Linked DNA regions of Medicago truncatula. The protein of the gene in region 3 binds, or shares a complex with, the protein of the main gene of each other region. Links are inferred from orthologs where the notes say so. Each region holds a gene or a part of one and is shown on either strand. Other genes may lie near its edges. The genes, in order: DNA-directed RNA polymerase II subunit RPB7, DNA-directed RNA polymerase II subunit 4 and DNA-directed RNA polymerase II subunit RPB2.

What was found.
Region 1: DNA-directed RNA polymerase II subunit RPB2 (region 3) and DNA-directed RNA polymerase II subunit RPB7 share a complex: the UniProt entries of both Arabidopsis thaliana proteins name them as parts of the RNA polymerase II complex. The link is inferred for Medicago truncatula from reciprocal best matches to the Arabidopsis thaliana genes NRPB2 and NRPB7.
Region 2: DNA-directed RNA polymerase II subunit RPB2 (region 3) and DNA-directed RNA polymerase II subunit 4 share a complex: the UniProt entries of both Arabidopsis thaliana proteins name them as parts of the RNA polymerase II complex. The link is inferred for Medicago truncatula from reciprocal best matches to the Arabidopsis thaliana genes NRPB2 and NRPB4.

The regions. Positions count from the first base shown.
Region 1 is NC_053045.1:46,418,989-46,426,430, reverse strand, and holds the start of DNA-directed RNA polymerase II subunit RPB7, read right to left. Parts: upstream 3,060-7,442; 5' UTR 2,934-3,059; intron 2,425-2,933; 5' UTR 2,387-2,424; coding exon 2,271-2,386; intron 1,852-2,270; coding exon 1,686-1,851; intron 1,574-1,685; coding exon 1,523-1,573; intron 970-1,522; coding exon 904-969; intron 787-903; coding exon 718-786; intron 1-717. Other genes in the region: 40S ribosomal protein S14, read right to left, coding at 6,706-6,773, 7,027-7,156, 7,345-7,430. UniProt on the Arabidopsis thaliana protein: DNA-dependent RNA polymerase catalyzes the transcription of DNA into RNA using the four ribonucleoside triphosphates as substrates. Component of RNA polymerase II which synthesizes mRNA precursors and many functional non-coding RNAs.
Region 2 is NC_053049.1:3,123,728-3,131,287, reverse strand, and holds the start of DNA-directed RNA polymerase II subunit 4, read right to left. Parts: upstream 3,013-7,560; 5' UTR 2,901-3,012; intron 2,782-2,900; exon of another isoform or gene 2,779-2,781; 5' UTR 2,764-2,778; coding exon 2,715-2,763; intron 1,794-2,714; coding exon 1,685-1,793; intron 1,337-1,684; coding exon 1,259-1,336; intron 743-1,258; coding exon 709-742; intron 583-708; coding exon 514-582; intron 1-513. Other genes in the region: E3 ubiquitin-protein ligase CHIP, read left to right, coding at 6,634-6,741, 6,839-6,906, 7,110-7,173. UniProt on the Arabidopsis thaliana protein: DNA-dependent RNA polymerase catalyzes the transcription of DNA into RNA using the four ribonucleoside triphosphates as substrates. Second largest component of RNA polymerase II which synthesizes mRNA precursors and many functional non-coding RNAs.
Region 3 is NC_053042.1:7,590,482-7,597,415, reverse strand, and holds the start of DNA-directed RNA polymerase II subunit RPB2, read right to left. Parts: upstream 3,098-6,934; 5' UTR 2,929-3,097; coding exon 2,671-2,928; intron 1,853-2,670; coding exon 1,631-1,852; intron 907-1,630; coding exon 616-906; intron 493-615; coding exon 295-492; intron 1-294. UniProt on the Arabidopsis thaliana protein: DNA-dependent RNA polymerase catalyzes the transcription of DNA into RNA using the four ribonucleoside triphosphates as substrates. Second largest component of RNA polymerase II which synthesizes mRNA precursors and many functional non-coding RNAs.

The DNA.
Region 1 (7,442 bases), on a different chromosome or scaffold from region 3:
CTTGGTAGTCACTTTCACATTCCATGTTGATCACTGTTGACATGGTTGTTGGAATGGTGGTGATAAAAGATTAACCAAGTGGTAAAACACTAGCATAAATTTATCGCCACTTTTATGGTATGTACAGATCACTACTGCTAAGCCTGTGAATCATATAAACTGATAGAAACCGACAGTTATGAGCAATGCGACAGTGCATTATTTCATAAAAGGAAATGAGATCTAGCTCTACAATGAAAATAAAAGTACATCCAGAGTCAGTGACTCCTAACCAGAGAGATATTATCTCCTACCCAGCTCAATAGCATAATCCGGAATACCCTCACACCTAGACTCTCCCTCCTTCAAATAAAATCTAGGGACCCCTCATAACTAACTTCCACTATTCCCCACTGACCCCAGTCTTCCCCTGCTCGTGTATACCTACCATGTAGTGGGTCTATTCATATTTGCTTTTATAATTGGATCACCTGTGTCATAAGGCCCAAGGGTCCTACCATGAACTTAAAAATCAAACTATCATAAACTAAGGCCGTTCTCTAGCAATTTGTACTAGTAAGCAGACCTGCAAGAAATGAAAGCTATATCTGGCACAGACCACAGTGCTTTCATATCCTATTAATTTGAATTTCTTAAAAGTATAATTTCACATAAAACTGATGGAGCTTAACAACATAAATAAAAGCAAACTAAAAGCTGCAATATATACAGGCTTACAATTTCAGTAGCATCCACTCGAGTCCCAATTATCTTTAGCCTCACTTCACTGTCTTTCTGAATCTTAACCTGCAAAAAAACAAACGATCAAAGCCAAAAACAGAAGAAAACACATTAAATTGAACACCTAAAAAAAAAAATTGCTCTCTTCCTCTTCAATGAGAAATTATTATAAATGATATGTACCGATCCATCTGAAGTAGTGTAGTTTGGCATGTCTCCAGTCTGGAATTCCATATCATCTGGAATCAACTGAAAGGAGAAAAAAGGGTCTGATCAAGACAAAAATACATGAGGAAATAGTAGCAAAGGCAAAACAGAATAGCTACGGGGGAGACTAAACTCGGGTCACAGTTCAAAGCTTGCAAATTATCCTTTTTTCAAACCTAGCAAGAAATCAATGAAAACCATTTTCATACAGACATCTAAAAGAGGAATTGCATTGGAGATAATGATCTCTAGTGTAAATACTATATAGTCAATATGACAAATGACAAAACAAGAAGTCGATTTCTTTTCCATTATTCAGAAATCAGAAGAACATAAGTGCTTATGCAACTTGAGTTCAACAAGTTTGGACAGCATTCCGTAATTCTTTTTTTTGGAATGTGCATTTAATTTTTCAATATGAAAGAATAACTTAAGACAGGTTATGTCTTTTACTACTCTAATCTCAAGTTCAATAAATGAGAATCATGATTTTAGGGCTTAAAATGAAGAACAATAATAACAGTATCTTAGGTACAAGTGTGTAAGGTGAAGATGATGATAGAGGCCTTTTGTCAAAGGTTATAAAAGAACTTACATGGTTGGAAACGAAGATTTGAACTGGTCCAGCTTCAGCAAAAAAACCCATCTGTACAAACAGAACTCAATAATATAAACCACTTTATCAACACAGCAGAGTCAGACACCTAGATAAAGCTAATGAGTAAAATGTAGAGACAGGGGAAAGGAATTGCATAAACCTTGTTCACCATGGTAACAACAGCTTCTAAGATCTCTCCCTTAAATGGTCTAAAGACAACACATTGGTACTTAACCGGAAATGTCACAAATCCGGTCCCATCCCGAATTATTCCTTTGCCAATGTTCTCAATTCCCGTCACCGCCACCACAAATCCATGTCGTCCACTGCGTAATAGTTGAAAGCCCAAAAATTGCATCACCACAAAGTCCAAAACAGAAACAGTTTGATCCAAATTATTACAGGTTTATTTCCAAACAAAATTAGTCCAAGACACAAAAAGGCTTATCACAGATATTGTTAGTTTGGGGTTAAAGAGGTCTGTTACTGTTCTACTGGCCCTTTATTTCAATTGAAATTGTTTCCATCATCAAGTAATGCTCAAAGTGCAGTTCTATTTAATTTGTCTTCTTCAAATGATAAACAAAAACAAAATTGAAAAGAAATCAAAGACAACATAGTACATATTCTTCAAGTAGTAGTCTGTTAGTGAAAAAATCTCAAGTGATGGCATCTTTTGTCCTAAGTTTAATTACTAGAACTATGGTTTTGTAAAAAAGAGTGAAATGATCTTAAGGTGAATCACCTGCAAGTGCCTTCGACATCTTTCATTAGCTTGGAAACAAGATTATCACGAAGGTTACGCCCAAAGTAGCGTGGATGCAGTTGCATGTTTCGCTCCAGCACTATGTGGAAAAACATTTTCTTTTCTCTCCCTTCTCACCGAACCTGAACAGTTACTTGTGGCCACAAAACAAATAATAAGAGTAGATTCAAAGAATACCATAAAAAAAAAAAAAAAAAACAGTCAAAACCATATAAACCCTAAATCGAATAAAAATCCAACTAACTTCATTTCAAACAATGAAAGAAAGATGAAAAGATATATATGAATGTACCCAAATTCCCAACGCTAATGAAAATAACATAGTAAGTTAAACGAATAAAAAAAAATCACAAGTTGTCGATGAAATTCAATGGATATGAAATTAGAGAGAAAGTGTGCCCTAGTAACAGTTCATTGTTCGGGTAATTTTGTGAAGTAATAAACAGAGTTTAGCCTAATTTGCTCTTCGATTGTAATATTTGCTTATGCAATAACTAATATTAACTGAATATGTGGTTAATTAGAGTGTTAACCCTCGTTACTCTCTTGAAGTGATGGAGAAAAGGCTAGTCGCTGTTTTCGCACTTCAATTCGAAAAGATAGGGGAGAGGAAAATAGGGAAACTAGAGAGTAGACACGAACCTTGTTCGTTGATGAAGCTAAGAACTGCGGGGGAAGAAGTGAGAGAGGAATCACGGTTTTTATTTTAGACTTGTTTGGGGATTTTTTTTGTTTTTCATATATCTATAGAATCGATTTTTTATTTACAGAATAATTGATATATTTAGACTATATTTGCTATAAGACTCTATTATAGATAAATTAAATGGGTGCGTTTGATTTGCTAAAAGAATGAAGGACATGACAGAACAGAACAACTCATATTTGTCCCTCACCAAACCACAGCATAATTTTTTGTCCCACGCACAAGTTGTATAAAATACCAAAATATGTTTTGTGTTGTGTTGTAGTACTGTTCTATCTTATACTGTTCTGTCCAATACTAGTTGTTTTGCAAACCAAACACACCCAATAAGTTATTCGATTTCAAAAAATATTATTTGTTTGTATATAAAATCGGATAGATATGTTAACATCATTGTTTTAAAACCCAGCACCGGCCAGTCGAACCGTGAACCGGTGGTAGAACCGATTCAAGTAAGTAGTTAGATCAGTCATGCATTTGACCCAGTGTGAATCGGACGACTCGTCCGGTTTTTTCAATAAACCGATGAACCGACGGTTTCTACAACTCGGACCGGGTCAAACACCATCGCAGATCGCACAACAAAAAATTGATGTCGCTCAAATTAATTTCTGAAAAGGAAGGGAGAAAGAGGTATAGAGAAGAAATACATGAAATAGAAAACAAAACAATTGAAGAAGAAGCATCAAGAAAGAAGCTGCGCTGTGTTTGAATCGCACAAGGGGAAAATCAAAATGTAACGGCGGCTGCAAATAACTAAGAGACGTGTTGTTTGTAAAAAAAAAGAGCAATGTTATTTGTATAACCATTTATTGTGACAACTTGTTGGACAACCAAATTTTACAAAGAAATTTAAATAGTGGCACAAAAATCAAAGCAATAGAGAGAGAAAGTAGAATAATCATGTGAGTATGAGAGAGAAAGTTGTCACAAAAATTGTCAAAAAATGGTTGTTCAAATATCATTTTTCAAAAAAAAAAATGTTGGTTTTATAATTAGGGTTATGCCTTGAGAGAGATCAATGGGCTTGGGCCTTTTTTCTCTTAGACTCGGGTCAACTTTTATATTCTTTTTTTTATTTTAGCTTTTTGTTTGTCTTTTTTTGTTTTTTGAATGCATATTTTTTTGGTTGCAAGTATTTATATTTTTAAACGTGTGACATCATTCCTTCCGATTAACATTTATATACAGCCTAATTTTGAAAATTTTAAAAGGAGAAAGAAAATAAGAATATAGAAAATTAGGAGTTTTTAACTAATTTAAAAAATTGAAATTTTTAGAGATTGATTCATCTTGTTCAACCTAATTTAATATTACATAAACAAGTTTAATATAGAGACCAAGTTATTCGATCGAGTCATCCGATTTAATCTGGTTAAGTCATGCGGTTCAACCAGTGACTCAATGGTTCGACCATTAACCCAGTGACCCAATACCTTTGTCAAGTCGATGGTTGAGCCGAGTTTTAAAACTATGGTTAACATATGCTTATTCCGTTATTATTTGTTGCTTTCACATATATATTGAGATGGATTCTAGGGTGAAGGAGCAATTAAGTCCCTCACCGGTGTACCACTTATATTTTACCATTAGAATTTTAAAAAAATTCAATGGTTTAGATTTATTGGAAATAAAAAAATAACACTTATGTCTTCCTAAATAACACTTATGTCTTCCTACATAACACTTATTTGTAAATCCACAATAGTAGGAGAGATAAATTGTTGAATGATAATTTATTTGCATACATAAAAAAAACATTGTATTTTTTCTAGTGTTTAAAAGGTACCTTATACAATTTTGTCTGTTCAATTGCAAGTTTGGTTCAGTATTTTCACCATTTCACATACCCTCTATTTTAAAAATTGGTCCCTTTGTCATTGTCATTTTTATTAAATCTGTAATGTTTTAAATAATGTAGAATGTGATTTCATGACAAAAAAACTCAACCTCGATATTCCCTTCAAAACTTCAAATATCATATGGCCATATTTTAGACCAAATATGTCAAATTTTAAAATAGGTCAACTAACATCGCATAACTAAACTAAGGTAAATTGATTTTATTAGCGCAACTACAAAAAACCATTGAAAACATCCATAACAAAGTTTACAAATTACAATCAACATAAGTAGGAATGAGGCCGGATACTCGCACCAACGCTTGGTGGAATGACAGATATTGACTGTAGTTTTAGGTGGTGATTTTAGGCAGATATTAACTGTTGTCTGAGGAGGAACGAGACCGGATATTGTTAATGCCTCGGTCAATTCGTCAAAGATATGGGCTTATTGTAATGTGTTGAGGCTTACTGTTAATATGAGATTGGGTGCATCTTCGGTACCTGCAGAGCAGGAAGAAATTGCTAATTTTTGCAAGTGGATACTCTCAATTGGAGACGGCAACGATGCTTTGGGTGACAATGGTGAAATGAAGGTAGAAATTCCTGAAGATTTGCTGATATCAGACACAACAAATCCGTTGATGTCACTTATAGACTTTGTGTATCCCGATCTAAATGATAACCTTGGTGACCAACTATTTTTCCAAGAAAGGGGAATACTCGCACCAACGCTTGATTCAATTGAGCATGTTAACGAATTTATGATGTCGCTGATTCCAGGTGAAGAGAAAGAGTATTTAAGCTCTGATTCTATTTTTAGATCGGGTGAAAATTCTGATGTCCAAAGCGAGTGGTTCACACCAAAATTTCTTAATGGTATTAAGAGCTCTGGAATTCCAAATCACAGGTTGAAACTAAAGGTGGGATGTCCAGTTATGCTGATGAGAAACATCGATCAGGTCAATGGACTGTGTAATGGTACTAGGCTGAAAGTTACACATCTAGGGAAGAGCACGATAGTTGCTACCGTAATTACAGGAAAAAGGGCAGGTACTAGGGTATTCATTCCCAGGATGAATTTTATTCTGAATGATCCAGGACTACCCTTCAAATTCAGGCGCAGGCAATTTCCTTTGACGCTTTGTTTTGCAATGACAATAAATAAAAGCCAAGGTCAATCTTTATCTTGAATGGAGTTTTAGCTTCATAAGCCTGTGTTCACGCATGGACAACTTTATGTCGCTGTCTCTCGGGTAACTTCAAGAAAAGGTCTAAAGCTGCTCATCCTGGATGACGATAATAATGTTTGTAAGGAGACCACAGATGTTGTGTATCGTGAAACCTTTGTAAAAAAATTAAACGTTTGCATTTACCGACTACATATGCTAAGTTTAACAATGAGTGAATCTTATACTACAAATAATTAGTACAAGTATAATAATCCAGATATTTTTATCGTTATATGCAATGTTTAGATATTTCATATCGAATTTAAAATCTATACATTTGATCAAAAAAGATTTTTATTTCCCCGTGCTGACACGGGTCACTATACTAGTAACTAGGAATTTCACAGCCATTGATATTTCAATGGTAATTATACCAATGCCATTAAGTACTAATTCTCATACGGTATAAAGTAAACATGAGAGAACAAAACAAAAATTAGATGAAGCAATTTATCAAATCCGCAAAAGTGTAAATCATAGAAGAAACATGAAAAACTTTCATTTGACTCTTAACTTGTATCTAAATAAACTCATGTAGAACTTTTGAATATGCCACAATACAGTCTGGAAAGAAACAAAAACACGGTGACCAAAATAAAAACATAAGCAGCTCCTTCCATAATACCATAGCAAACTCAGAGCCTTCTACCCCTTCTACCACTCTTTCGGCGGGTGCTGTCAGAAGGAATTGGGGTCACATCCTCTGCAAATTTAAAAACAAAAGGCAAGCTAATTAGATATTAAGCTGGATATCAAAACTTAGAAACTCATCGTCAAATGCTGAGAATACAAAATAAGAGTAACTAGGAGGGAGAACTATTACTTCATAAACAAGATTCACAAACACAACGCATAAAACAAAAGCACATAAAAAACTATAGACCACATCACCAGCTTAGAGCAGCAGGGAACAAATTTACCAAGACATGCATCCTAAAAATGGACTAAAGGAATACCTATGCGACCGATTTTCATTCCTGACCGAGCCAAGGCACGGAGAGCAGCCTGAGCACCAGGGCCTGGTGTTTTGGTCTTGTTTCCTCCAGTAGCACGTAGTTTGATGTGAAGAGCAGTTATGCCTAACTCCTGTTCAAGAACACAGAATCAGCAAATTATGACAGCTAATGGAAAATGCCAATGAAATAACAATTAATATTTGATACGACAGGCGGAGCAATCAGATTACAAGAATTCAATCAAATTAAAAAGAGCAACGCAATCGCTTGTCAAGAAAAAACACAAGTGAATAAAAAGATACAAATATATGCAATTACCTTGCATCTGGTGGCAACATCTTGTGCAGCAAGCATGGCAGCATATGGAGATGACTCATCTCGGTCAGCTTTGACCTTCATTCCACCTGAAACATAAC
Region 2 (7,560 bases), on a different chromosome or scaffold from region 3:
CAATGTAACAGAAGGCTCGCGGGAAAAATAAATGAAACATATTAATAAAAACTGAGATGCCATTACGGAGATAAATAGTAACCCAATAAAATCCTCCAGCTTTTACTTATGAATTCTCCAATATTGGGAATTTTTGTAAATTTAATTGCCAAACTTGTAGATATTTCTGATTTTGCTCATTAACAAAACAGAATTTTACACCAAAAATAAGTTATTCCCTGCTAGATAGTATTGACCACATCAATCAAACAATACTACCGTCCTACCAACTCCTACCAACTCGATAAAATTTTAATAGAAATTTATTCAAAGAGATAAATTTATAGAACATCATATTTGATTCAATTCATGCCTTTATTTATCTCCCCTTCTTCATTTTAACAAGCATGAAAGGGAGAATTCAAATCATTTAAAATTGACCTAACATCACCACTCCTTCCCAAAAACAAACCCTTCTCATCCCCGCCCAACAGGAAAAGTTTACAGAAAGAAGGAGAGGCAAATTATTTCTACCTTGATAGATGGAACCATAGCAATAGCTTCCTCTACAGTTTCCGGGCAAAGATTGCCTAGGACACACAGCTGCAATAAATTCATTGAAACAGTTAATTGTATTGTGTGAAATTATAACTCTTTTTCTTTATCCTCATAATAAAATGTGAAAACTTGCTTCCTAAACCGAATTTGTGAAAGGAATAGTCATATTACCTCAAATTCAGCCAACTGATATCTCGCAAGAATTCTTAAGCCAGTTAAGATCACAATCTGATACAGGGCTTTGCAATTTCAAATTTCTTATTAAATGATAGAAAGAGATATTACGTAGGGGTCTATTTGGTTCAACAAAGGGGAGAGTTTTTAATTAAAAGCATGTTTGGTTTAAAATGAGGGGAGGAATTTTAAATGGTTTAGAAGTGTTTTTAGTCACCTCACTTCCAAATCCCCCCAATTTGAGGGGAAGCAAAAAGTGGTCTAGGAGGGGTTTTGATTCCCTCCCATCCCCCTCTCTTAAAAATTGAACCAAACATAAATGATTTAAAATATCCCCTCCCCTTCAACCACTCTCAACCAAATGGACCCTAAAAGGAAACACAGGATCCAGAAAGACAAGAGAAAAGTCAATCAAGAAATAAAAGAAAACGAGATTATTCATTATTATGAAAGAAATGAGATGGACACCGTCACAATTTTCATTTAAGTAAATATATGAATCATGAGAAAAAGAAAATGGGTTCATCAGCTCAGTTTTGGAGGATACTCTCGAACTTGTCTAACAGCATCAGGATTTTTGTAGCGGCTGAAACGCTTCACATACTGCAATGACTTTTCAAATACCCTGAAAAAAATAGAAGGAAAAACACATTACTCTAAGGTGCTAACTACAACATTACTCCGCTTCTATATCAACATCGTTGTCAAATTCATCATTGAAAATATGTAAATTGGGTTTGGCAAGTTCAAGGACATGTTATTTAATTTAGGTATTATTACAGCGGCAGACATCAAAGCATAACTCTCTTCTTCCAGCAATAGTATCAAAATAAAAGATCTTGGAGTCATTAAGCATAACAAATGCATGTCATATTCCCGGAATAAAAAGTAATTTAGCTAGGGGCGTAAAAATGGCATGCATGAACTTTACGTCTGAATAACACATGAACATTGATACAGGATTAGAACTCACTGAGAAACTTGATTCATGGCATCATCAGACGACTGCTGAAGCTGCTCATATTTGTGTTCCAGAATTAATGAAACCTCACAGTTCATCAAGCACTTTGCTTTCAAAAACTCTGGAAGAAAAAAAAAAAAACTACTTCTTTAGCGAAAAAACAAAAAGTCACAACAATTATACCAAACTTGAAACATGTTCAATCAATCCAACATGACAAAACATAAGATCGTTGTCTATCAATGAACCAATCAGATTTTGAATGGTGTAATAAAATAGCTATCTGAAAGGAGTATGGTGATACGCCGCAACTAATCAAAGCAACACCCATTACTTATTACCCTCATATACTAACTAATCACCTAAAAATATAGATAGTATTATAGTATATCACTTCAGAATATGAGTTTAGGTATTATTCAACGTAGCACATGCTAAAAGAATAAGGGAATTGGATTGGTTTACTTGAGCTTATCTACTGGCATAAGCACTTGTGAGAAGAACTTAAGAAAACAGCTTATGACATGTTCATAAGCTGTTTTCAGCTTATTTCTATACACTCTATAGGATAGCTTATAAAACAGCTTTCTGCTCAAGTGCTCGTACAAATTCATTCAACTAGATTATCCGCTGTGAGCTAGCTTATCGGTTATCCTCTATAAATAAGTTCATCCGTCATAAGCTAGCGTATCAACTATGGTAAAAAATAGCATTAGTTCATTAACTCAAATACGAATTTATATATAAAACACATAATTATAATTCATTAACTTGTTAAATGTTCAGATATATAAACATCATCCTTAAAAAAAAAAAAAAAAAAAAGATATATAAACATCATAGCTCAAACATCTTTGAAACCATACGAAGATGAAGTACTGATCTCAAAGAAACACTGAACGAAGAATTACTATGTACGAAGGTAAAATTTTCAAATTAGGGATTTAAAAAATTACTAATAATGAAACACTACGTAATTCAAGCAAAACAGAACGCAAGTAAAGAAGCAAATTAGTGGAGAAAACCGAGAATGAGTAATTACCGTCTCCGATTTTGAGTTCAGCGGCGTTTTCTTCCTCTTCACCAGACATGATTCACTCCTTCTTCTGCTGAATTCAATTAGGTCAGCACAGAATCAGTAATGAAATTAGTACAAATCAAATCAAAAAGATAATGATGTGATTGGGAAGAAGAAGTAGAAGAAGAAGAAACGGTGTAACGAACTAACCAGAATCAAAACGGTGAGAGAAGTTGAGGGCTTTGTGTCGTTCACCTGGGAAGAAAGTAACACTCGTTTTGGATTTTAGACAACGTTAAACGCAGCGTTTATAAAGCTACCACTTTCCCTTAAAAAAATAAAAAATAAAAGCTACCACTTTATTTCTCTCAAAAACTAAAATAAAATAAAATTGGATTAATAAGTCTTTATCCTCAATAATATATATATGGCATTTTTAGTTTTTCTTTGAAAAATAAAATTTAGATTCGTCCTCGTAAATTAAAGATTTTTTAGGTTTGCCACCCGAGCCCTTCGAGTCATCAAAATATCTTATTGACGTGGCAACTACGTGGCTTTTTCTTTTTTTATTTATTTTTTAAATGTCACGCGTAAAAAAAAAATTACACGTCATTAATAAATAAAAAATTTTAAAAATATCAAAATTAATTTTCAAAAATTATAAAATAAACAAATTAATTAGGAAAAAAATTATAAGAAAATCTAAAATTTAATATATTTCGAATTTTTCAAAAAATTATAAAATAATTACGAAAAAGATTCTAAAATATCCAAATATAAATTAAAAAAACTTCGAAAATTATAATATTATCTAAAAAAAATATTTTGAGAATTAAGTTTCAGATTTTTTTTTAAATATTTGTAATTTCGAAAAAAAATTGATTTTTTTTAATTTCGAAAAAGATTTCATAAAATTTCAGGAATAAAACTCTCGAAAAAATTTGAAATCTTTTCTAAATTTAATTTTTTTTGAAAAAACAACTGAAATTAAGATTTTGATTTCAATTAAAAAAAATTATATTCAAAATTTCATAAAATTTGAATTCTAGAACAATATTTCATGATTTTATAAAAAAATTCAAAAACAAATCTGAATTTTTCTAAATTTAAAATTTTCGAAAAAAATCTGAAGTTAAGATTTTAAAAATTTAAATAAAATCAAATTTTTTTCAAATTATATAATTGGAATTTAAAAATATTTATATCCAGATTTTTAAAAATTAAAATATTTTTCAGAATTTTCTTTTTTTGTAGAAAAAAATTTAAAAAACTTTTTTATTTCGAAAATAATCTGAATTTTTTTTAAATTTTGAAAAAGAGAAGAACATTTTCTATTTCGGAAAAAAAAAATCTAAATTTTTTTTAATTTTTGAAAAAAAAATAATTTTTTTTTCGATTTAAAAAAGGATTTTCGTTTTTTTAAATATAAATGACGTGTAAACAATTTTTTACGCGTGACAAGCACAAAAAAATGGAAAAGAAAAAGTGTCACATCAGAGATTCTACTGAGTCAATGGGCTTAGGGGGCAATCGTGAAGAATCTTTATTTTATAAGGACGGAATCTAAATAAAAAATTACAGGGGGCAAAACCGAAAGTACCCTATATTATAGAGGGGTAAAGGCCTATTAATCCAATAAAATTTTATTTATTGTAAATTCTTTCATGACCCTAAGTTTTGGTAATATCCTATCTTGACCTCAAAATTCATTCATAATTAAATACAAGATCTTTTGAGTATAAAAATTAACAACCAATTAAGAAAAATAGAAACAAATAAATTATTATCAAGATTATTTACAAAATTATATTAAACACAATGTTCGAATATGGGTCAGAATCTCCTTAAAAAAAAAACAGAGAAAAGTAAAGGATACATGTAAGAACCTCTCGCTATTTTTTCTTTATGGGTGTGTTTGGTTTGCAAAACAGTAAGTATCGGACAGAACAATATAAGATAGAACAGTACAACACAAGGCAGAACAGCATAGGACAAATTTTTTATGGCATTGAGTAATTTTTTGTTTTATACGATTTTTGAGGGACAAAATGTTATTTTGGTATTTTAGACAACTTGTACGTAGGATAAAAAGTTGTGATGTGGTTTGGTGAGGGACAAAAATATAAGTTTTTGTTCTGTCGCTTGCCTCCAGTTTGTCCTGTACCTGAAACAGTTTTATAAATCAAACACTGGACAACTAGAGTTGTTCTGTCTTATCCTTTATTTTTTAGCAAATCAAACGCACCCTATATTTTTTTTCTCTTTTCATAGTTATAGCTTTGAAGAGTTTTAAATGTATATTATTAAATAATTGGAGTTATCGAATATCATCATATTGTTGCAATTATATTTCAAAACCATTGATAATTGAAATAAAAAAAAGTTTAAATGTATTTTTTTTCCTCTTAATTTTTAAAAAGTTGTAATTTTGACCCTCCAACAAAAAAATTACAATTTTGATCCATTAACTTTATAAAACATTGCACAACGCAAACAAAAAAAAAATCAATTTTTGCCCTCTATCCTAAAAAATATGTACTTTTGACCTATTGTTTTTTAAAAATAGCAATTTTGGTCCCATATTTTGACATGTGACGTCTTCTCGATTGTCTTACAATTTTTTTGTAAAGTTAAGGTAAAAAATTGCTATTACTTTTTAGGGGTCAAAATTGCAATTTTTAAAAGTTAAAGACGCAAAAATGCATCTAAGCTTAGAAGAAAGAAGAAGAAAAAAGACTTGACTCATGATATGCATCCTATAACTAATAGTCTCGATCTCCTAAGAATGAAAAATATTAAGTGCATAATGCATTTTAACTTTGGTGAGCCTGCTCTTTTTTTTTCTTCTCTCCTTCACGATTGGTTTGATTCCTTCATATCTCGGCCTCTACATTTAATTGATAGGAACAATACGATGCAATATGTAGAGACTGATATTCGAATCATGAATTATTCACTTATTCACTTTATGGATGAAACTATAACCACTAAATTATTTAGTATAAATTTTTTGAAACCAAAATTTGTTATATTTTTTCAGCATCTAGAAGAAGGAAGTGAAAAACACTATTTAAACTTACACACCAAATTTCAAGTTCGAATTTAAATTAAAATGGCCGGATTAATGCGATAATATTAATTGAGATAGATCTTATAAAAACGAATTGTGTTATTCTTTAAAAAAAAAATGAATTGTGTTAAATTTACGTATATGGAATTGTCTAATATAAACTTTTTTTTTTTTTTTTGTGGTGGCTGGGGTTCGAACCAACTGAATTATGCTCACGAGGACAATATAAACTCGATCTAATATAAAAGAAGACTCTACTATTTATATTATATTTTTGTTCTCCCTTTTCATGATTATAAAACTTACTTTTTACTAAAAATTAAGTTTCTTAAAAAAAATAATAGTAATAAGAAGAAACATAAAATTGTTTTTGAATGACGGATATTAAAATAGGATGGACAACATGAGAAGATCCAAATTATTTTTTATTTTTAAACGTAATTGATATTAGACCAAAAAAAAAAAAGAGAAAAAAAATAGACACAACCTTCAACATATGTAAAAAAAATTATTACATACAAAAAAACAGATATATTTTTTTTTGAAAGATATATAAAAACAATATATTCCACAGTTTGTTTATTTAGTTGATAGAAATTTTTTAGATTTTATGACAATTTATTTTGACTGGATATTGACAAATTTAATTTAATTTAATACATAGCGTGATTTATGACAGAAACTGCGAGGCGTACAACTCAATACTCACATCATATTTCCAAAAACTCGTTGTTACCTTTCTTCATCGGTACTCTCCGTTTCTTCTTCTCCAAATTTCTACAATTCACATTCAATTCATTCACATTATAAACATCAATTCATTCATTCACATAATAATCTACACCTATAGATATAAACATTAGATATAGTGAAATGAGGCCAAACGCTTCGGCGATGAGACAAGCCGAACTTTTGCGAAACGACGGTAACAATTACTTCAAGAAAAACCGTTTTAATGCCGCCATCGATGCTTACACTGAGGTTTCATCCAAATTTTCAGTTTTTACTAACCCTTTTCTTTTCAATTGCAAAAATTAAAACTTTGTTTCGTTTCTGACATGGGTTTTTTGTTTTGTAGGCAATTACGCTTTGCCCTAATGTTCCCGTTTATTTCACCAATCGTGCTTTGTGTCATCTCAAACGAAAGTATGTATTTTTATCAATTTTATGATTATGATTTTTTGGGTGTTTTTGATTGTTTAGGGTTTTTAATTTTGATTTGAAATTTGGGTTGTGGGATTTTTAGGGTTTTGATTTCTGTATGCAATTGAAATTGTGGTTGGAATATTGATATTTTGGAGGTTTTATTGATTACAATTGTGTCCACAATGTGTTTGGTTTATTTGTAGTGAATGGGAGAGGGTTGAGGAAGATTCTAGAAGAGCAATTCAGCTGGACAGTCATTCTGTTAAGGTTATAATGATTGATCTGTTTGTTATTTTGTAATTACTCCTTTTGTCTCGCTCGTGGTTGATTTAATGGCTTCATTCATCTGTTACGAATATTGCTTTTGCTTTTGAATGAATTTGTTTGCACATTTAGTTGTATGAGCAATGCTATATATCACGGACCCTTTATTCGTGAAAATGCACGCGCGATGCACATTTTGGGTTTAAAACAATCCACGTGACTTTACATTCTGATTAGGCGTAAAACAGATTGGGTATTGATGCTAAATAGCCTATCATAACTTTTCGTGATGTTCTGCATTTTCTTAAATTTATTTATGCGTGGGGATACAAATTCCTCGATGTTAATAGATTCTTGAAACGTTAAGTAGTTCTCTTGGCCACAATTTTA
Region 3 (6,934 bases):
CTATAAAGCTTCTACACAAACACATATAACCTTATAAGAGCTGTTTCATGGGTTAGAAATTAAATACTCTTATATCGAAATACTCTCGTAAGCTAAAAACTAATCCAAACTGGGCCTTCATTCGATTATAAATAATATGCAGTACAAGAGAAACAGACTATTCCATCTTCGGAACAGTCTGAAATATATTTGGATTGTACGACGATCTCACTCGAAACTAATATATAATTACTCTAGACAAACAATCACCATTTTGACTGTAAGCAAAAAATATATAACAATAGCAAAACCCACCTGTTGATTTTGTATCACAAATGCTTCTTCCAGGGAAGGACGAAGCAACTCCATCATTTGAGTATCCGCAAAGTCATAGCATATATGTTCAAGGATATCCTTGTCGGCGACAAACCCCAATGCCCGAAACACAATAATGATAGGAATTTCAGTTCGAATGTAAGGAAGAGTAGCACGTATATATTGCCCTGAAGAACCCTGGTAGGAATAAAAATGCATAAACTTAGACATTGTATAAGACATCAAAACATCTGCAAAATGTGACTCGCCACACAGCAAAAACTACACAAAAACAACAAATATACAGCGATTTTCATTTACCCCTTTGGCACTAGCCCGAGAGAGCATGCGCACAAACATAGTGCTAGGTGGTCTGTTTTGTGACTCTGCCATGGAGCGAACTTCACCCACATAAGCATACTTGTTAGGTTGTCTCTTCTTGAAGACGTAGACATGATTGGTGCTCATCTTCTCCTGAGCAATAAGAACCTTCTCACTGCCATTAATAATGAAATAACCTCCTTGATCATACGGACACTCTCCAAGCTCAGTCAAATCCTTCTCTGAATTCTGATATAGTGTGCAATAACTAGACCGAAGCATAATAGGAACCTAATAACAACAAAACCATTACTTAGGTTACACAGGCCTCAGAAGTCCGATCCAATTATATTTCACCACCACATCATAAAATAACTTAAAATTCTCATTTACTCTGTCAAGAAGGCAAAATTAGTACAATATAGTTATAATTGACTATAATCAAAGTATAATCATTAAAATAAGCTGATTTAAATGTTATTCTGACTTGAAGAAGGCCCTAACACATTTATTCAGTAACAATTTTGATTATGTAAGTAAGAAGAAACACCACAAACAACAAAAAAGGCCTACTGTGAGCTTATCACTGAAGTAAACTGAAAATGACAAAAGGACATAAATAGAAGCTTAAGCTTATCATTGGAATTTAATAAACTGAAAAAGACTTCTTATAGGACATGTCATTTACTTTAATAAATATATCCAAATACTAATATACTAAACTACAACTATAACAATTGGTTGTAAAAACTCTTCCTAAAACCCTTTTAAGCATGTATCTTAGAATTTGGATTGAGCCTAACTCAACCTTACAAAACCAGCTTGTAAGGTGAGGGCTGCCCAAACTTCATAAACACTACACAGGCGATTTCTTTAAGCAACGTAAGACTAAATCCACCCAATTAAGGTATTGGATGCTGCAATGAAGGCAGCCCAAATGCCACAATTAGGCGGATAGGGGCGGACCGCAATGAAATCAGAATCTGTAGAATACTAGAATTGAGAGGAAGGGTACCTTGCCAATGAAAACTTTGGTGAAATCTTGAGTCTCAGTGACCTCTTCACCATCATGCCCTTTCTTAATGACCCTCTTAGAAACATCAACATACAAAGGAGCTGAGTAAGTAAGATTCCTAAGCCTGGCGGCCTTAGGAAACAATGTAGCAGTTTCTCCATCAGATTCCGTCATCATCGGCTTACTCAAATAAATCTGCCCAAAGCTTATTTTGTAAATCGTCTGCAAACAAAACCAAAATCATATTAACATCAACATCAGATTCAGGTCAGCCCGTTCGTTACAGATTATTAAAAAAGGGATTCACATACGCAACAATTTAGATATTAATTTTTAAAAAATAAAAAAGCATATGCATAAAAAAACACTTTCTAAAAAAGAAAAAACCACAAAATGATTTTCTAAAGAGGCTACAAAAGAGCTTCTCATTTTAAACAATTTTTAGATTTTTTTTTCTTCAATGAAATAATCACTTGTAGAAATTTGCATCCATTAGTTACAGATTTTCAAAACAACAAAAACAAAAAACAACAGCTTCTCCATTGAAGCAGTTTTTAGTGTATGTTTGGTTCTGTGGTGACAATAATTGATTTTGGGTGAACTGATTCTATAAAATTGATTCTAACTAAAAGTGAGCTCAAGGTAAAGTGATTTGTGTTTGGACACATTTATGTAAAAGTGAGTTGAACTATAAATTTGTGTGTAAAAATCAATTCTATAATCAAAAGCTACAAATCCTAACTTCAAGTAAATCACTTTTTATAAGTGATTTTCACTCTGGTAAACAAACACAAAACAACTAACAACTTCTGCTTTTTTTCTTACTTTAAAAATTAATCGCTATATGTTTTGAAGTATCCAAATCACTTATTTTACAATCTCTAACAAACAAACCCTACAAACACTTCTCATTGTGAACAGCTTTTTTCTTTCTTTTTTCACAACCACGTTATATTGAAAATTGAAAATCCGCAACAACAACCAAATTTAATCATCTAATTGAAAAAAGTGATTATCTAAGTAAGTGCTTATCAAACTACCTCAGCGAAATCAGACTGATGTCCAGGATTGTGCTGAGATTCGGGTCGAATTTCGATATCAGCGGATTCATCAACTATCTCCTGCATCGTGTTCTGAATGAATTCATCAAAGGAATCAAGCTGTTGACGTACAAGTCCTTTTTCTTCAAAATAAGCAGAAATCACAGCCCAGGCATCTTCCTGGGTAATCTCTTCTTCATCGTCTTCTTCTTCCATTTGCTGATCGAATTCATTTTCTTCTTCCAAATCCATCATCATTTTGTTCAAATTCGAAGTTCAAATTATGCGGTGTTTTAGTGTAATTTTGAGTGTGTTTTTAGTGTGAGAGAAAGAAGACGAAGATATGAAACCCTAGCAGAGAGAAAAAAGTGAAGAGATTTTCGAAAGAGGTTTGATGTATGAATGAATGAATAATGACTTGTGGCTTAATGCGGTGCTCTTTTATAGCTATGACTCACTCACTCGGTTTTTTTATACGTCCGTGGGTAATGCATCTCAACCCATAAACCATCAAATTAATCTCTGATTTTGTAAGTTGAACCGAAATGAATCTCGGATTTTTATGAATATTTTAAAAAGGTTTTTAACTCTTCTATATTAGTCCGTTCTTTCAAAAAATAAAAGCTATATTAGTCCATCAAAGAATATAATAGAGACTAAATTGGTAGTAAGTGGATAAATTTAGGAATAAATCGACAATAAATTGTTAAAATAAGGTGATTGAACTCATGGTAAATTATTAAATGTAAGCATCAATTTGAGAGTTTAATAAAGTCTTAAAAGTTTTTTACATTTTCACAGAGTCAATGATCTATTCGAAAGTGTTATATAAAATCAAAAATTAATTTGGTGGTTTATTCATATTTTTATGACACTTGTTAGTATGAGTTAACAAAAACAAATGGATAGACATGAGCTTAAGTGGTGGTTAATAGTTTAAGTGGTAAATAGCTTAAATGGCTAATAAGCTCCATTAAATAATGAATTGTTCACGGGAATCTAAGTTTGATTCTTTGATGAAGTAATTATAGTTGGACTTTACTTACTTTTCAGTCGAGCTTTTGATTATTAGGATCCATTTCTTGTGTAAAACATAGGGTTATATTAATCCGTCAAAGAATATGATAGGGACTAAATTGGTAGATGTTGATAAATTTAGGAACAAGTTGACAATAAGGTGTTAAAATAAGGCGATTGAACCGATGGTAAATTATTAAATATAAGCATCAATTTGAGAGTTTAATGGAGTCCTAAACTTGTTTTAAATTTTCATAAAGTCAATGATCTATTTGAAAGTGTTTTATAAAATCAAAAACTAATTTGGTGGTTTATTCATATTTTTATGACACTTTTTAGTATGGGCTAATAAAAACAAATGGATAACCAAGTAAATGGGGTTAAGTGGTTAATAGTTTAAGTGGTAAATAATTTAAGTGGTTAATAAGCTCCATCAGATAACGAGTTGTTCACGAAAACCCGTGTTCAATTCTTTTATGGAATAATTATAGTTAGACTTTATTTACCTTTCAATCGAGATCTTGATTATTAGGATCCATTTCCTGTGTAAAACATAGGGTTAACACACAAAAAATGGATAAAATTTAGTGGTTTGAGTGTTGGGGGAAGCAATGACGAAACTGCAAAAAATTATTAAGTGGTTTTTGTTTGGAATCTCCTAAGTAAATTATACTTTAGTGGTTGATGAGCTCAACCAAATGACAAATTGTTCATGATAATCCAACCTAAATTCGATTTTTGGTAGAATTCTTGGACAAACATTACTTACATCGCGATCGAACTCGGTATTAAGAGCTTCTTTCTCTTGGAAACCAAAGGGTTAATACATAATAAAAGAATAAATTACAATATGCTCTCTTATGTTAAAATATATATATATTCTCCTCTTTTAGAAAGTAAAAACTTATCCTCTCCTCCCCTAAAACTAACATAGCGGAATGGAACGTAATGGAATGGAATGGAAAGGAACAGAATGGAAGGGAACAATGATACCATTCCATTGTTTGAATATTTTATGATGGAATGGAGCTAATTTTCCATTCTATTGTTTGAAAAGTCGAGAGAATTGAATGAGTTATAACTTATTTATTTCAATTTTACCCTTTTATTTAAAAAAACATCAATAGGTGGAACAAACAGTAATAACAATTAAAAAAAATCTTTAGGTGGGCTAATTTATACAGATCCAAGCATAAAATCAATGCATGAACTCATAAATGAAACATGGATACCACTTTATGCATTTAGGATATAAAATATATGCATTCGGGATATACTATATGCATTTGAAACAAGTATATATTACTAGGTGCATTTCAGGATATAATAACATAAGATTTACAAGGAACAAGCCTATATTGTTTTATCAAAATTGAAACTTTACCATTGTATGGATAAACAACGTATCCAACAACAATTTTGTCGATAGCTGTATTACTATTGCCACCATTCCATAATAGAAAAAGATAATAGAAAAAAAATAACGAAGCTGTATGAATTTAAAAAAAAAAATAGAAAAAATAGGGACAAAATTGTAATTGTGTTATTAATGTGTTCCATTCCATTGAATACACGTCAAGAGAAATGCTACCCACAGTTGCTCTAACAACCGCGGATAAACACACGCTCGCTGATTGGACATTATTTCTATTATTTTAAAAGTGATGACCGATTTACAGGTTGCCTAGGTTGAAGTATTTTTTTTAACATTTTTTTATTTTTTTTTGCATCGATAAAAAGTTCCTCGTTACCACAAAACATCAAACCACTTCTACCACTTTCTTGTCCAATTCTTTCTCTTTTGTTGTCCACCTGAAAGTATCCATTAAAAAAACCACCATAACTTCAATCTCTAGCACTCGATCAACATGAAACTCAAGAGCCAAAGTTCAAACCTTTATCCAACAATAACACCACTTCAATCCCTCCATCAACTTTTTCCACATATTTCCCATCCTTATGCAGCACCATCCAAGATCGCACATATCAAAGTGTCTCTAATTCTAATTGTAAGAAAGTAATAAGATCTAGATCTAGAAACACATGTAACTATTTGATTGGTTGTTTCCCTCTTTTCATTTATAAACACCCTTTTCGTTGATGTGACTGTTCTCGGCGGCAGGTACGATGGGGTTTTTGTTCAGAACTGTGGGAGTGAGCATTAGGGAAAAAGATGAGTATGTGATTCATGAAAATTGTTTCAATTTCTTCCTTCCTCAATGCCACATTAATTGAAAGTGTTAATGGTGAATTCAAATATGGGCACAATCATAGATACGTTGTGAATGTACATGGCATCTTCAATTAGAAATTTTTTGGGTGAAGATGATGTGAAAATGGTGGTAATGTTGTAGAAGCCTTTTCAGTTCAGTGTGTAATCTGCTTTATGTGATATACTTTATCCTCTAAGTAATTAAAAAAAAGTAAAAAGTCTTAATGAAAAACAACCGGTAACCAAGAAAAGAGTGACCACGTGGCCCTATATTTGCTCGAGTATGAGAGAGCGAGTGCTAAGCGATGATTGGATCACAATTATCTCCCTTAAGAATTAAACATGTACTACATTTTAACGTGAATAAATATTTTTATAAAAAAAAAAAACTTAAGGATTTAGAATATAAGATATATTTTTAAAGAGTTTGACTAAAATGTGCAATATTGCACATGTTAAAGCAACTAAAAGTAGTAAATTTTTATTAAAAAATAATACTTATTTATTAAAATGTTATATATTAAATACAAAATGTACAAATTTCAATGCAAAGTTGTTATTTTAAACTTCTTAACATGTGAAAATTTTGCACATGATAGAAAAACTCGTTTTTAAATAGCAAAATTTTGTCAACTTTCGTAATTTATCAAAATATTAAAAAATTTCTTTGTATTATTTTATATTTTATAATATGGTTTAAAACAATATGTTAATAACATTGTGAATAAAAATAGAGAAAATTCTGCATTCAAATTTTGGTTATATTAAAATAATCTCGCATTACTCCTTTTCTACACCATTCGTGTGTTTGGTTTTCGCTTTTAGACTCATAAAAAATATTATTAAAAAAAAGGATAGAAGAGCATATTTAAAAAAAAAAGAAAAATTTGATGTGCAAGAAATGTAAAATGATTTTAACAAGTAAACTCTTGGTGCCGGGTCTCGAACGATTACCTTTAGGTTGTAGGGCAAACCTCGCAGTCAAGTGACTTCTCAGGAGACATGCTTTAACAAGTAAACTGCTGCAATGTAAAG